4 linked regions of the Drosophila melanogaster genome follow. The protein of the gene in region 2 purifies or fractionates together with the protein of the main gene of each other region. This does not show direct contact. Each region holds a gene or a part of one and is shown on either strand. Other genes may lie near its edges.

What was found.
Region 1: the proteins of Rab18 (region 2) and D2hgdh purify together in Drosophila melanogaster (affinity purification with mass spectrometry, with the first as the bait; one large-scale study listed by BioGRID). This does not show direct contact.
Region 3: the proteins of Rab18 (region 2) and Echs1 purify together in Drosophila melanogaster (affinity purification with mass spectrometry, with the first as the bait; one large-scale study listed by BioGRID). This does not show direct contact.
Region 4: the proteins of Rab18 (region 2) and CG15891 purify together in Drosophila melanogaster (affinity purification with mass spectrometry, with the first as the bait; one large-scale study listed by BioGRID). This does not show direct contact.

Annotation. Positions count from the first base shown.
Region 1 is NC_004354.4:2,139,749-2,145,458, forward strand, and holds D2hgdh (D-2-hydroxyglutaric acid dehydrogenase), read left to right. Parts: upstream 1-1,740; 5' UTR 1,741-1,858; intron 1,859-2,150; 5' UTR 2,151-2,254; intron 2,255-2,938; exon of another isoform or gene 2,939-3,181; intron 3,182-3,243; 5' UTR 3,244-3,308; coding exon 3,309-3,500; intron 3,501-3,562; coding exon 3,563-3,704; intron 3,705-3,778; coding exon 3,779-4,472; intron 4,473-4,538; coding exon 4,539-5,112; 3' UTR 5,113-5,189; downstream 5,190-5,710. Other genes in the region: Pgd (phosphogluconate dehydrogenase), read left to right, coding at 5,659-5,666.
Region 2 is NC_004354.4:5,670,265-5,673,688, forward strand, and holds Rab18 (Rab18), read right to left. Parts: upstream 1,549-3,424; 5' UTR 1,398-1,548; coding exon 1,339-1,397; intron 1,250-1,338; coding exon 817-1,249; intron 753-816; coding exon 651-752; 3' UTR 563-650; downstream 1-562. Other genes in the region: RpL35 (ribosomal protein L35), read left to right, coding at 2,256-2,258, 2,734-2,870, 2,953-3,184.
Region 3 is NT_033778.4:13,852,391-13,856,114, forward strand, and holds Echs1 (Enoyl-CoA hydratase, short chain 1), read right to left. Parts: upstream 1,942-3,724; 5' UTR 1,809-1,941; coding exon 1,712-1,808; intron 1,516-1,711; coding exon 791-1,515; intron 726-790; coding exon 660-725; 3' UTR 557-659; downstream 1-556. Other genes in the region: CG30485 (uncharacterized protein), read left to right, coding at 1-428; CG6553 (uncharacterized protein), read right to left, coding at 2,347-2,528, 2,585-3,362.
Region 4 is NC_004354.4:6,294,008-6,297,369, forward strand, and holds CG15891 (uncharacterized protein), read right to left. Parts: upstream 1,339-3,362; 5' UTR 1,047-1,338; coding exon 597-1,046; 3' UTR 510-596; downstream 1-509. Other genes in the region: CG15892 (uncharacterized protein), read right to left, coding at 1-131; CG3815 (uncharacterized protein), read left to right, coding at 1,499-1,546, 1,703-1,893, 1,957-2,641, 2,702-3,362.

The sequences.
Region 1 (5,710 bases), 3.5 Mb from region 2:
CTTGCGACCTTTGGAACCAACCCACCCCTTTCCACCATTTTCCGTGGCCTGTACAAACCGATTTCCCAAACAAACATTATACAATTACCCTCAAAAGGGGATCCATTCTGATGTCCCAAGGGGTGTACACGTAATCCCACCCCTAAGATCATTAGGGGTGTGAACGAGCGTAGGAATTGAAAATGGCAGGGGGAGCCAAATAGGACTATTTGCCGTTTCAATTGTCTTCTAATCATGTCCTCTTTATGTATTCTATTAAACCGCAATAACTCCATTTTCAAAATATGCCTATATTTTTGTCACCGTCTGTAAATTTGCAAACGATTTTCAAACAGAGATGTGTGGTTGCGCTTGCCATTGTTTTAATTGCAATATATATAATGCAGCACTTGGCGTTATTTTATAATTTCCATGCGTGGGTAGAGTCCGTTTTACTTGGCAGAAGTTCTAAATTTAATGGATCCACACCTTGATACTCAGAAGTATTGAAGAAAAATCCTAAGAAACTGTCATAATAACTGAACTAAATTACTGGTTTTAGGAAAATTTTACTGGTAAGGAAAATGAAAGTGTTTACTAATCCTAAACAGAACAATAGACATTTAACTTAATACCTTTCGGTATGGAGACACACAAATTAATCAAAACATACCCAACATGAGATACAAAATTAAATATTGAACTCCATGATTGTAAGCTATAAATTTTAAGTTATTAGCAATCGTTATTGGGACTTTATCGATACCCAAGAAGCAATTATTGGAGTCAACTCACGAGTTGCGAAACAGGTACAAGTGTATGAGAATGTTATCTTCTCCATTTTTCTTTGGGTACAATAACAAAGTTGATTGAATTGTAGAAGTCGCTGCTAATTGGCAGTACAAAATGCCGACGGAAGATCGAAGCGAATAAAAAATGGGCGCACCACCGGAAAAGGTTTTTTATGGGGTGCAAAAGAGATAGCACCATTGTGCCGCCTGCGGAGAAGAATAGGACAGAGACAAGCTAAATGTTTAGTGGTTCAGTGGGCGTGGCTAACGCATGTGTGGTGAATTAAAGTGGCTGTATAACAGTTGTTATGCGAGGTGATATCCGTACTGGTTTTGATTACAAGTTTGCAATTTTAGGAATAAACGGTATAAAAATATGTATTAAATATGCTTAAATTTAAAACTAATTCTAGCGGTTTATATAATCTCTTTATATAAAAGATGTTAAGACTTTCATTTCTACACAGTGAATTTGCAATGCAGCTAGCTATATTTTGAAAAGCAACTAAGGCATAAATAAAACACAGAAGTAATAATAATAGTAAATGGTAATTGTTGATAACAAATTCCAATAGGTAAACAGAGATTTATCAATTTGATTTCCCAAAGCATTAAGATTTTGTTTGCGGTTATTAGAAGTAATTGAATTATAGAAAAAACATCCCAAAAAACAAAAAATTTTGTATTAGTATATTGTGTTATTTCCCGTTCACGAATCCATAAAGAAGTGGTAAACAGAAACAGTAAAACACAAATCGATCCCCAATATGAACTGTTGAAATTTCTACAACGCCGCTGTGGTGTGCTCACTCACTCGCTTTCGCTCTGAAAGCTCAGTTCGCTCTCTCTCCTGGGGAGCTTTCGCTCCGTGATCATTTTGAATTCTTTGATGGAGGGGGGGGGGGGGGTGTTTGGCGCCTATCGTATCTCTTAACTAACGCTAATCTGCCCCTGTTTTGCGTTTCGAATTTTAGTTGCGGTTTGTTGTGATTCCGGGTTGGACGCTGCTCTGAAGGACATCACTGACTTATGGATGAAAGGAGTAGCCGGACCTCGACGTGACCCCCATCCATCCGTACATAAACATTGTAAGTTCAGTTGGTGTTCCGATCAACATGCTTTTGAGTGCTTCTGCGTTAGTTTCTCTTTCGGTTTTTCAATTTTCCATTGAGAGATTCTGGCGCGTGAGGCTCTCCCATTCCCGGTTACTTGTCGTGTGTTAGTGAATGAGGATCCTAATTAATCCCTTTAGTAACTGCAGTGACACATCTGATATTCGTTTCACAACCGGTTTATATATGTATGCAGATGCTGATATTGTTTTCGCGCTTATCAGCTACCTGTTAACCCAGTGTTTCTGTTTGTCTCGCTTGTTTACAGACAACACGCGTTCGCACCCGCCCCCACACACACACATACACAAAAGCTCGAATTTTTTGACGTAATGAAACAAAACGACAAAAATACAGAGCAAGAGAGAGCGAGTGAGAATAAACATAGATCTCAATAATGATTACGAGGGATGGGCACTGCTATTAACCCGCTAAAAGACTATATTCATATATGCATTATACTTAAAGTATTTATATTAAGTACTTAACTTAAATATGTAAGAGATAGACAGAAGGAGGTGTTATAAATACTCCTGTGAAAATTAACAAATTGCGTATGTGCAGCTCCAGATTATATAACAATTGCAATAGTGAATTTAATGCCTACTGGTCTTAAATATGTACATAACATGAAATATTGTTCGTTGCAAAATACAAATACATTTTTGCACGAAGGCTAATCCACCGTAACCGGGTGGTGCAAATCCTCCAGGCATATCTATCCATGCATATACCCGTACCCGTATCCGTATCCGAATCCGAATCTGTATCTCTTCCAATCTGGCCCCGAGCCAAATTGCTTTATGACCGTTTCTGTGTAGGGATCTATCTACCTGCCGGCAATAATCTGTGTGGACTCATAAAGATCTTGACTCCACGGACCGTGGATTGCACTTTTCAAACCAGACCAAATCTAGACCGTGCTGCGGTGTGCGTGTGTGCGAGTGTGTGTGTGCGTGGTCCATAATAAATATGCTAATTTCGCATGCACGCGCAGAGTCGGAGGGGCTGATAACGTCGCCATATATAGTGATATACCTAGAGCCCGAGAGGTCTAGTGGAAAAGTTCGGTTTCCTGGTGTCCCTGCTATCAGTGCGATACGGCCCGTGGTGAGGAGAAGATTGCGTCCACACCCCCCTCGAGTGGATGAATGTTGGTGTGATAACGTGATAAGCATCCTAGTGCTCCGGGGAAGTCCGGCAGTCTGCCATTGTGTCTAAACAAAGAGAGTCGGCTTATCGAGCCGTTCCATAATAATAATAACTTCGCTTTTTATGCATCCTAACGCTTAATATAAAGTAACGAATTTTGTATGGCCCAAAGGTATTCCACAGTGTACTCATCCCATTGCCCATTTCAGAGACATATAACAGTTGCGGCATATAACAGATAAACTCGAAGCCCTTTCCGCAACCATCCTCCACGATGAGATTCCAACAGCTCCTGCATGTGCGCAGATTGGCCAGCGCCGGGGCCACCACCTTGATGAGGCGGCCTATCACCACCACCACCATCACCACCACCAGTCGCACCGCCCTGGCAGCCACCTACCCCGCTTTCGCAACCACTGTGCGCACAATGGCGGGCAGCGGGGCTCCGATCCCGGAGCTCACAGAGGTAGGTGTTCCTGTGGCGAGTTGTCCGCAGCGGAGATGCAACTGATGCAACCCACATTTCAGATCACCGACAACGTGCAGCGCGGCAACTACGCCACTCTGACCGACAAGGATGTGGCGCATTTCGAGCAGCTCCTGGGCAAGAACTTCGTGCTCACTGAGGACCTGGAGGGATACAACATCTGCTTCCTTAAGAGGATTCGAGGTAGGTTGTGTAACCAAATTCATTCACATTCGTGTGCCCTTTAATGAATTTCTCCGATGAATTGCTTCAACCAGGCAACAGCAAGTTGGTGCTTAAGCCCGGAAGCACGGCGGAGGTGGCCGCCATCCTGAAGTACTGCAACGAGCGTCGTTTGGCGGTGGTGCCGCAGGGCGGGAACACAGGTCTAGTGGGCGGATCCGTGCCGATCTGCGACGAGATTGTCCTTTCTCTAGCGCGCCTGAACAAGGTGTTATCCGTGGACGAGGTCACCGGCATTGCTGTCGTGGAGGCGGGCTGCATCCTGGAGAACTTCGATCAGAGGGCCAGAGAGGTGGGCTTGACGGTGCCACTGGACCTGGGCGCCAAGGCCAGTTGCCACATCGGGGGCAATGTGTCCACAAACGCGGGCGGAGTGCGGGTGGTGCGTTACGGCAATCTGCACGGCTCTGTTTTGGGCGTGGAGGCGGTGCTGGCCACCGGTCAGGTGCTGGACCTTATGTCCAACTTCAAGAAGGACAACACCGGCTACCACATGAAGCACTTGTTCATAGGATCCGAGGGCACTCTGGGCGTGGTCACGAAGCTTTCGATGCTCTGCCCCCATTCCTCGCGAGCGGTGAACGTGGCCTTCATCGGCCTGAACTCCTTCGACGATGTGCTGAAGACTTTTGTCAGTGCCAAGCGTAATCTGGGCGAGATTCTAAGCTCCTGCGAGCTGATTGACGAGCGGGCCTTGAACACCGCCCTCGAGCAGTTCAAGTTCCTGAAGTGAGTTGCGCCACCTTTGTCTTCTCTGAGCGTTACCAATCCTGTTCACAAACTTATTTCCCATAGCTCCCCCATTTCGGGATTTCCCTTCTACATGCTCATCGAGACCTCGGGCAGCAACGGTGACCACGACGAGGAGAAGATCAACCAGTTCATTGGGGACGGTATGGAGCGTGGCGAGATCCAGGATGGCACCGTAACCGGTGATCCCGGCAAGGTGCAGGAGATCTGGAAGATCCGCGAAATGGTGCCGCTGGGTCTGATCGAGAAGAGCTTCTGCTTCAAGTACGACATCTCGCTGCCTCTGCGGGACTTCTACAACATTGTGGACGTGATGCGAGAGAGGTGCGGTCCCCTGGCCACAGTTGTCTGCGGATACGGCCATCTGGGGGACTCTAATCTGCACCTGAACGTCTCCTGCGAGGAGTTTAACGGCGAGATCTACAAGCGGGTCGAACCCTTCGTCTACGAGTACACCTCCAAGCTGAAGGGCAGCATTAGTGCGGAGCACGGCATTGGCTTCCTGAAGAAGGACTACCTGCACTACTCCAAGGACCCGGTGGCCATTGGCTACATGCGCGAGATGAAGAAGCTGCTGGACCCCAACAGCATCCTCAATCCCTATAAGGTGCTTAACTGAAGGCTTCTACCTAATAGATTCTATTTTTTTTGTTTGTGTGTAATTTTCATAACCTTATAATACAGAAATGGCATTAGAAGTGAATTTTGTTAACTTGTGAAGTTAAAAAGGACCATCATATTTGGCACGAAACCAATGGGCAAAACTTACTTATAAAATAGTCCGAAAAAATAGTATATACCAGTTTTTACAGTACCACATTATAGGTACTCGGAGGTAATAATAGAAAAAACACTATCTTTGCATTTACTGTTACACTACGAAGCACTATATTTAGTAGCAGTACTCATTAGAGTCCACTCACAAAATTAGCACCAACCGGCAGTAATTGGTCAAGGATCGGCGATAGCTTCAAACTCCGAAGTTCAAAGTCAAACTGCCGCCCTGCGAAAGCTTCGCGAGTGGAGCTTTTCTGCACTTATCGATAGCTAACATTGTGGCGCGACTATCGATCGACGAGCTGCCGCTTAACAGTGCCATATATAGATTGTAACATTAGAAGCTCAAATCATTGTTGGAGCACAAACCACAAAGAACACACGAAACATGAGCGGGTGAGTAGAGGGAAATTCTCTTTTCCCCGGAGTTTTCCGCGATC
Region 2 (3,424 bases):
ACGGAACCTATGCGATTACAAAAATGTACATAAGGGGCGTGCTCCGGGAATTGTTGCGGCCAAATGTCCAGCTTTGTTTTCTAAGCATCCGTCGCGTGCAAGGGATTTACAAGAAATTGATGAATAGCGAGCGAGCCAATCGTGAAGAACAGCTTCATTGATTTCTAAATCCACCTTGTTAGCGTTAATTAATAAATATTAATCATCGATAATTGTAAATATAAACCGAACTCACTTATAAATTTACACCACCAGATGCAATAGAAATAAAAAAAATCGCATAGCCCATGTACATTTCAGTTGGTCACTAATCCAATTCTCCACTTTATTTGTTGCGTTTGTGAACGCAAATGGAAAACTATCATCATGTCAATAAAATAATGAAAAGAAAATGCTGAACTTGACTTTTGACTGGTCGCAGACGAAATGCAAGCAGATGGACAATAAGCCGTACAGGAATATTAGAAGGATAGAATTTAAAAAGGATTCTGACTGATCTGCAAACCCTGCAAGCTAAGTGAATCGATAGCCCTGCTCAGATTGGAGTACACGATTGAACGTTAAGGTTGATTGACTTTATGCTAGTGATATTGAAACGATTAAATAAATACACGATATAAATTTGACAAAAGCACGCATAACATTCGAAATCAACAGTAACACGTAGACGCGCTTGCCTCCAGATCCCGATCGCTGGCGATGTCCAGACCGGCGGAGGCATTGCCATTGTTGAAGTATTCGGAGGAGACGATCTGCAAAGCGGATGTGGATAATTGGAAACACGAATGCCAAGTATTTGGTTGGTAGCTAGCTCACCTTCTCCACCACATCTTTGAACACATCGCTGACGAACTGATCGCATTTGGCTGAGGTCTCGATGAAGAGCGCCCTGTGCTTCCTGGCAAACTTTCGACCCTCCTCGCGATCCACAACTCGCTCCTCGTCGATCTTGTTGCCTACCACAATGATGGCAATGTTGGGATTGTCGCTGTAGCTATCCAGTTCAGCCAGCCAGGTTTCCAGCTTGACCAGGCTGTCCCTGCTGGTGATGTCGTACACTAGAATGGCGCCCAGAGCCTTCCGATAGAAACTGGGCGTCAGGCTGCGGAATCTCTCGGCGCCCGCCGTATCCCACAGGGCCACCTTGTAGTCTATGCCGTCCACCTGCATCACTTTGCTCTTGAAGTCCATGCCAATCGTGACGTCATGGTTCTGGTCGAACTTGTTCTCCACGAAGCGACGTATCAAACTATGATGAAATGATAATGAAAGTTGATGAGTGATGCAAGCTTTTGGTAATATACGCAGTGGAATTGCTCCATGGACTTGGGACTGCACCTGGACTTGCCCACGCCGCTTTCCCCGATCACCAGCAGCTTGATAGCCCGATCAGCCATTGTGTGGTTTGAGCTCCGCTTAATGCTTATCACTACTGTTATTTACTTAAAACGATAAGAATATTGCCAATTGTATTATTTATGTAGATTATCTGGAGTAAGTGAGTGCGGCGTTGCCACCTTGCTGCTTTGTTTACATTCTCACGATAGAGATGGACCACTGTAACAGCAGCCTTGCCAGACCGCCACTTCGATCTAGTGGTGACCTGTGGCCGTAATCTGGCTACTTTTTTGCACACACATTTAGCTTCTTAAAATAATTTAATTCCACCCTTTTAACAAAACCGATCGGGTCTTGACTTAGGAGGACTAACTATATTTAAAAAAATAATTCTGTTGTTACTACCATAATAAACGCGCAATGAAAACTAAAACACGTTAAGCAGATCAAATTTTGTTGCCACATAGGTAACAGTGCGTTCCTTATATTGTTGTATAAAAATTAATTAAAAAAAAAAAATTAATTATAAAAAATAATTATAAAATATCATAAATTTAGGATTCCTTCTGCGCTCAAAATAGTTGGTGTTATAATTATTTTATATAAACGTTTAAATTATATAAGAAATAATTTTCCTCGAAAAATAATTCCGAAACGCGTAATGTCTTAATTTTATAGCTCTCTAAAATGGTATTATTTAGCTTTTCATTGGCATTAGCAAAATAAAAAAGTAAATATTGTGATTGAATATTTTTGCAATCGTAGTAATTTGATTTATCTATTTTAATGACGGACTCGGAACCGGTTCGATATCAGCGTTGCCACTGGTTCGACGCTCGAAGTTACAATAGTGCCACCACCAACTAGTTCTTTCCTCCAAGTCCCATCTTTCTTTTTTGACGTGACCAGCGAGAAAAATGGTTGGTATTTTGTGAGCGAAAAGATTTCTAACCTATTTTACAACGAAACGAACAATTAAAAGCCAAAGTAATGGCTAAAACGCGCCCCAAATTACTGCCGTTCATGGTGTTAACACAAAATGCGATTAATAATGCAGTACCACGCTAGTTGAGACGCGCAACGCTAGCACACTATTTTGTGCTCACCCCTAGCACCTCTGCTTCTTCTTCTTTCCTTTTCTTTTCGCCGCGTTTCCGGAGAGGTTGCGTTAAGCCACGTGCTGAATTTCTTAATTTGCTGGTTTAGTGAATACGGAAAATTCGTTGGTTTTTTTGTTCTGTGCTGAGTGTTAAAGAGCAGAGCTAGAAAAATGGTTGGTTGGTTACACCCATCGACACCCGATGCTCTCAGCCCAAGGGCCAATGAACATGCCATTTGCAGTGCAGCGATACTAATGTTCTTGTTTTCTGCCCGTTTGTTTGTGCTCCCGTCCAGGTGAAGGTTAAGTGCTCCGAGCTGAGGATCAAGGACAAGAAGGAACTCACCAAGCAATTGGATGAGCTCAAGAATGAGTTGCTCAGCCTGCGCGTGGCCAAGGTGACCGGCGGAGCTCCCTCCAAGCTCTCCAAGATGTGAGTATGCCGCGGCACAACGACAAGCGTCACGAACTAATTCCGGTGTTTTGTGCATTTATGTGCGTTCTTATCCATACAGCCGCGTTGTCCGCAAGGCCATCGCTCGCGTCTACATTGTGATGCACCAGAAGCAGAAGGAGAATCTGCGCAAGGTCTTCAAGAACAAGAAGTACAAGCCCCTGGATCTGCGCAAGAAGAAGACCCGCGCTATCCGCAAGGCCCTGTCTCCGCGCGACGCCAACCGCAAGACCCTCAAGGAGATCCGCAAGCGCTCCGTCTTCCCCCAGAGGAAGTTCGCCGTCAAGGCCTAGAATGCATCCAGATACTCCGACTGTCTATAGTGCGCGTTAAGGGTTCTTCGGTACAATGAAGAAGAAAAACTAAATAAAATCTTTTTTTTAAAGTGAAAATAGCGATGCGTGTTTGATTTTGTGACCGAAAAAACGCGAGTGGCACATGGCTTTGGCCATGGGTTCATGGAAATTAGTTAAAAAACAAAAAAACAAGTGCCGCATTCCCTGTTCTACATATGTTAGTCGGATCCAATGGGA
Region 3 (3,724 bases), on a different chromosome or scaffold from region 2:
CGTGCACAGATTACTTGCTCACCTCACGGCCAACTGAGTCACAAAATCCGGGCATACGTCGAGGATTGGTTACATATCGAAACTACGAGTTTACCACCGAACTAAGTGATCCCTGTGTGATTGAACCAAAGGGGAATCGTTTCCGATTTACAGAACATTGTCCCATGCACAGGGATAAGAACTACTCACGGTCACGAAATTATCGACATTTAGCTCGTTGTTGCGATGACTCCGATGCCTCCAGGCACTATAAAAATCCACATGGCTCGAGAAGGATACGGGGAGGTATAGATTTCCATGAGATTGAATATTCTTCACGAAGGCAACGCTACACAGCGCACAATTTTCCAAAAAACATGCCTTCCAAACTCGAAAGCAACAAGACACAACCATGGAAGTCACCTAAGCACTTATTTTGTTTCGATTAGAAATAGGAGGATAATCGGGCTAGCAAGCCGACTGTCAAGTGGCCATACCATGTTTATACTAATGGATTACCACCTGACATGCGGACTAGCATACCTCATATACTAATGACAAATTATGGTAAATTGTTCATTTTCAAATTATCACGATTAAAGTTTTAATTGCGTAGAAACAACAGTTTTTCTTTTAGATAATATAAATGCAAAGCTGGCTGGGATTGATTAGGGTAGTATTTACTCGTTGGTAAACTTGGCAGGGCGCTTCTCGGCGAAAGCGGTCATGCCCTCCTTGCGATCGGCCTATTGGATGAAAGAAAATACAAGAGATTAAATAGTGTTAAGCAGATATTTAAACTTGAACTAACCGTGGAGAACGTGGCATGGAAGGTGCGACGCTCGAACTTCAGGCCCTCTTGGAGAGTGGTCTCGTAAGCCGTGTTAACCGCCTCCTTGCACAGCTGCACGATCAGATTGGAGTGGGTGCCGATCTTCTCGCCCAGCTTGACGGCCTCGCCCAATAACTGGTCGGCGGGCACCACCTTGCTGGCCAGACCCAGCTTCTCAGCCTCCTGGGCGCCGATCATATTGCCGGTGAGGCACATTTCCATGGCCTTGGACTTGCCAACGACGCGGGTCAGACGCTGGGTGCCACCGGCACCGGGAATGGTGCCCAGGGCAATTTCAGGCTGACCAAACTTGGCCTTGTCACCGGCATATATGATGTCGCACATCATGGCCAGCTCACAGCCACCGCCCAAGGCGTAACCATTCACGGCAGCAATGATGGGCTTCTGGGTGCGGGCCACCTCTGTCCAGTCGTTCAAGAAGTTGCCCTGGATGCACTGCGAGTAGGTGTTGCCCACCATCTCCTTAATATCAGCGCCAGCGGCGAAGGCCTTCTCGCTGCCCGTCAAAACGATGGCGGAGATGGTCTTATCCTTGCTGAATTGCTGCAATGCGGTGGACAGCTCCTTCATCAGGCCATTGCAGAGGGCATTCAGGGCCTTGGGGCGGTTCAGGGTGATCACGCCTACGTTCTTGCCCTCGCCGGCCACTTCGGTCTTGATGTACTCCCAGTTGTTGTTGGTGGCTGAAAAGAGATGGCATCATAAATGAGGTGATCGTATGTGCGCGAATGTTACGCAATCAATGTTTATTTGCCTGGAAAAGTACAAAAGATGTCGCCAAGAAACCGGCGGCACTTGATATCTTGATATTCCGGCTTAGGTTGGAGCTGGGCATCAATCGCGTGGACTTTGATCCCTCGCAATCAACCATCTACTTACAGGAGCTGCTGAAACGGGTGGCCACCTGTGGCTGACGGGCGGCTGCCTGCAGGACGCACTGGGCGCGGCTAGCGAAGATCTTAGCAATGTTGGCCATTTTCAATTGAAGGAACTCTGAGCCGGCTGCAAGTGCAATTCGTTATCTAATCTGTGGCGGTATCTGGCATGGAGCCACTCTAGAACTTGGGATACTTACGCTGCGAAGCACTGGAGCAATATTGGCGCACTAGTGGGGCAGGTGTGACCGCGTTCGCTCCCACCAGAAATGCCACTATTTCCAGTCACTGTTTCAGTCACAGTTTGGGTCGCAGCAACAAGTGGTTCTAGCATTACAGCTGTTAACGCAAAAGTATTGTTAACAGCCGAAATTAAAATGTGCAACCTAATAACACAATTATTATGTTCTTAAATCTGTTTTAATATATTTACAATATAATACTACTTCTCACGTTTTACTCTAAAAATAAATATACATTCGTATTTAAGCTTTTAATTTTTATGGAGAACTTGAAATAACATTATTTACATAAGATAAGCCTAGATAGTTTGAAATTAACAGTACTTTTTATCAACAACTTGGCTGGTAAATAAGTAAGTATGCGTGATCACATGTTTAGCTTTGTAAAAATTAATTCCTAGACCTTTGGTATTGAAGATGTCTGGGGAAGATTACTGCTGGTCTCCACCAGCCAAATGTGCTCCTCTCGTTGCCTTCTTGAGCCATTTTCTCGACGCACCCGCCAAATTAGAAACACCAATACCACGATTAGGAAGCAGAATATTACTATAACCAAGCTGAAAACATACGCTTGGGGTGCTAAAAGTAAATAAATTAGTATTAATGAAGAAACTTTTGATAAATACACAACTTACTTTCACAGTAAGGAAACTTCCTAGCCCACAATGCGTCCTGGCAAATGTTCTGGTTCTCGCCTTTCAGTCTGTGCTCCGCCGGGCAGTCGTAGTAGATACGGGTGCCATTGGCTACCCTTGATCCTACAGTGAGGATTGCATCTGTGAAGTGCTTAACCATAACGTTTGGCAGTTGGGGAACCACGCACTCCCCGTTCTCCTGAAGAGGATTTGGTCGTGACGCCTTCCTTGTTACAGGAACAGTGGGAGTTATCCTATGGATACTACTTTCCGTAGTTGTACTTGTCGTTGAACTGACTGTAGTCGTTGGTATGGTAACGCCCTCGCAAAGGGACTCCAGCTCATCGTCTCCATCTCGGCAGTCACGGATGCCATCACACAATTTGGAATAGGTCATGCATTGGCCAGAGGAGCAGTACATTTCCCAGTTGTCGCAGTTAGCCTGCTGCATCTGCGCCCGGCACAGCCAACCCTGCTCATCCGAACCATCCACGCAGTCCTGGACGCCATCGCAAACCGCTGTGCTGGCTATGCACGCACCGTAGCTGCAGCGAAATGCATAACCCGGACACCAGACCTTCTCACACATGGCGACCGTCTCATCGGAACCATCCAAGCAGTTGGCGCTCCCATCGCACAGCTGGTCCAGTTGGATACAGTCGCCTCCTCCACAGCGATGCCCGCAGCTTGTGGCATTTTGGGATCCCAAGCAAATGGTGACGGCTAAGGAGAGAAAAATCACCAGCTGAATTGAGAGATTCTGATGCGCTCCGAACATTCTAAATGGGTTCCAATCGACAGACTGACGGTTCCATGGCGCAGTTAAGGGTATTATTACGAGAGTTGTCCAAACCAGTTTGATGATGATACGGCTCTAGCTGTGCACAATTATCAGTCATGGGGTTTTCTGAGCGGCAGTCAGTATTTTCAATGACCGAGCTTATCACGTTTTTAGATAATCCTATCAAAGGGATATTCCAAAGTTGTATCGAGTTTGCCATTAGTTGTGATGCACGTTTTGTGGCGAAACATTCCCGTTTCCAAATCCAAATCCGGAAATGTTTAATATACTTTTGGTTACTAACATGCCTCCAATAATTTGCCATCAAGAATATAAAAAAGTAAGTTCACTAAACAGAT
Region 4 (3,362 bases), 620 kb from region 2:
TTGTCCAGTTCCTCCTCCCGCCGCTTCTTTACGTTCTCCTCTGCGCACACATCCGGATCCTCCTCCTCGGGCAGCGACTCCGTCGACGTGGGCATCGGCTCATCCCAATCCGAGACATTGGAGCTGGCCATGGCTGAAGAGTACTACACGGAACTGAACTAAACGAAACGAAACGGAACGGCTCGTCTCGGCTTGGTAAATTTGTACGTATTGGAAATTTAGCTTTGAACTTGGTTACTTATAAACACAAAATAATGTTTCGAAATCTTTTTTGTGTACGAAAAATTTGGGTAAACGGGAGCACTAACAATTTTATGTATTCACGCTGCGATAGTGGATCACCTTATGAGCAGTCCCAGTTGAAATGTGAGCGAGGTAAAACCAAAGGACTACTTGATAGTCAGAAAAGTTCTACATGTTTTCAAAGAAATGGAACATTAATTGTATGGCAACAAGATTAAGGAATTCCAATGACTCACACCACTAACAAGCAAAAGAGCACTGCATATGTGGTTTACAATTAAATAAGCAACGTTTTATTATATGTAATGTAATGTAATGTATGAATATTAACCAGTGGATCTATGGATCTAAAGCTAGTAACACTCGTTCTGCACGGATCGCTCCAGGGCGAAGGTGTACTCCTCGGCCAGCTCGTCCACGGACAATTGGCGCGTTAGTAGCGCCAATATGCTGTCCACCTGCATTTGGGTGCTGGTGTAGCGATCCTTGTTGGCCAATCCGGGTGCCAGCTCGAATGGAATGTCCTGCAAGTAATTGACGGGTCCTTGGGCTCCGGGCTGCTTCACTTGATCGCTGCGCGGTCCTGGCATCGGCGGATAGGGCAGATAGCCCGCTGGCGGCATAGGTGGATACATGGAGCCGGCTGGAACACCCGGATGAGGAGCATCCGGTACTGGTTTGCGCTCTATGAACACGAAATCATCGACACTGGTGCCTGGACGGGTTGCCTCCGCCGGTCCCTGGATGGGCTGGTCATCCGTGGGCGTTTCCGCGGGCTTGCGTTTGCCAAATATCGAAAACATTGCACTATTTTGTTCTATTGTTTGGTAAAATCAACTGGCAAATTGCGTCGTCCGCCAGCTGTGATGCTCTTTTAGCGGGCGTTGGTCCAAAACAGCGAGTGCTAGCTAGTGGTGTGCCCAAAAGATGTAAACATATAGGTGTCTATAGTGAGGTCTGAGCGAAATATGAGAATTTTGGGTATTTAATTTTTAACTATTTGTTTGCTTGGGTATTTTTCGGTTACGAATGTGTATACCCAATATAAACTTTATTAATTGCAAGTAGTTAGATTTGGAGTGAAATGCAGTCTGCACTGAATTTCCGTTAATCGCCTATCGGTGGGCGCGCAGTGTGGCCATTCGCTCGTCGGATGCGCAGGGCTGGACAACCGACACTGCGCCCGCCTCCGTCGCCAAGTGAAGTCGCTCCGAGATTGATTGTGTACACCGGATAAGAGGAGCGAGCGAAAAAGATGTCAAAATTGGACCAGGACCCGAACGCCTCACTGAGCATCATGGAGGTGAGTGTGCCGCCGGGACGCCATTCAGAGCTTCAGTGTGTCCACTGCCCGGAGCTCCAATTCCAATCGGCGGTGGCTACTCTAGAGCTGCCACATTAACGCATTCACAACTGTCTCCATTTCCCACATTTAACATAACTTTACTACTTCGCGCAGCAAATCAAGCAGCTCATCCGCCCGCCGCCCAACGAGGACGAGAAGATGATGCAGCGGTCCACCAACACGAAGCATCCGTACTACAGGCGCCCGGGCAGGGGCCACAACCACGACTATTGTGACGCCTGCGAGGAGGGCGGCAATCTGCTGTGCTGCGATCGATGCCCCTCCAGCTTCCACCTGCAATGCCAGTGAGTATATACACGCGCATATAGCTGCTCATTTTGAGTGCTGATTTCGTGCTTTCGCCACAGTGATCCACCGTTGAGCGAGGAGGACATACCCAGTGGCCAGTGGCTGTGCCACAGCTGTCGCATGAGCAAGCTCTCCCAGCCGCCGGCCTCCTCATCCAAGGCCAGTTCCGTGGAGCGTGTGCCTTCGGCGGGCAGTGGCTCACGGGCGAATACTCCATCGTCTGGCGATCTGGAGTCCATACCGCTGAAGATCCGCAACCTGCGCAAACGCAGCAACAGCGAACGCAATAGCACCGAGAAGCTGCTGGCCAAAATGCCGATGTCCATACAGCGCGCCCTCGATCCGAACAAGAAGCCAACGCCGCTGGACGATGTCATCAGGGCGGCCACCATGATGAATCCGCAGCAATTCTCGCTGCCGCCGGAGCTCGAGCTGCACACCCAGTTCCCGGGCAATGGCAAGGTGCAACCCGTACAGCAGACGCATCCGCCGAGCGGAAATGGCGGTAATCGCAGATGCGCCGGCAATCAGCGACGCAACTCCAAGCCGTTTGAGCTGGATGCCCAGGGACTGGTGCCGCTGCCCGCCAAAACCTGTTTCTACTGCACGCGCTCCTGCAAACGGGCGCCGCTCATCTCCTGCGACTACTGTCCGCTCTACTTTCACCAGGATTGCCTGGATCCGCCACTGACGGCACTGCCAGCTGGATTGTGGATGTGCCCCAATCATGCCGAGAATTTTATCGTAAGTCAGCCAACGCACATGGAGGTCTGCTTGGGTTCTAATGAGGATGTCTGTTCACAGGATGCCAATATGACCAATAGCATTTCGGCCACGGAGCGGGTGCGTCTCTGGAATCGCTTCCACCAGCCACTTGACCATGAAAATGTCAAGCTTGAGTTCTTCCGGCGTGTCAACACGCGCAATCCGCCCTTTCGCACCAAGAGAAATCTGCGTGCTCGCGCCCACATCGAGGTGCCAGCCATTGTGCGCTACCACTACGATCATCCGCCGCCGCTGTTGCCCTCCATGCGCCAAACGTTGCGCTACGATCGGGTAAAGCGGCGCAATAACCTGCCCACCGAAGTCGAGGAGATATCCCGTGAGTCGGTCACCGAATCGCTGCTCAAGGATCTGGAGGCCTTGCGCACGGCTCACGCCAAATTCCGTGAGATTCAGAGGGAATTCGGAACCTTGGAGACGGCCATAGATGGCGATAGCGACAGCGATCCCAGTCCTGAAGAGAAAAGGACCGAGACGAACACTCCCGCCGATAAAGTGAATGGCGAAGTGGATACGGAGAATCCCAATACAGAATCGAATGCGCAGGCCAGCGAACAGCCGTCGGTTGTCAAGGTGGAGTCCAAGACCAGCCTAGAGGTGGAGGCTAGCTTCGAGGAGGACGAGGAGGACAGCAAGAAATCAACGGGTATTATCGATGCAGACCTCTTACACCTGGACGTCG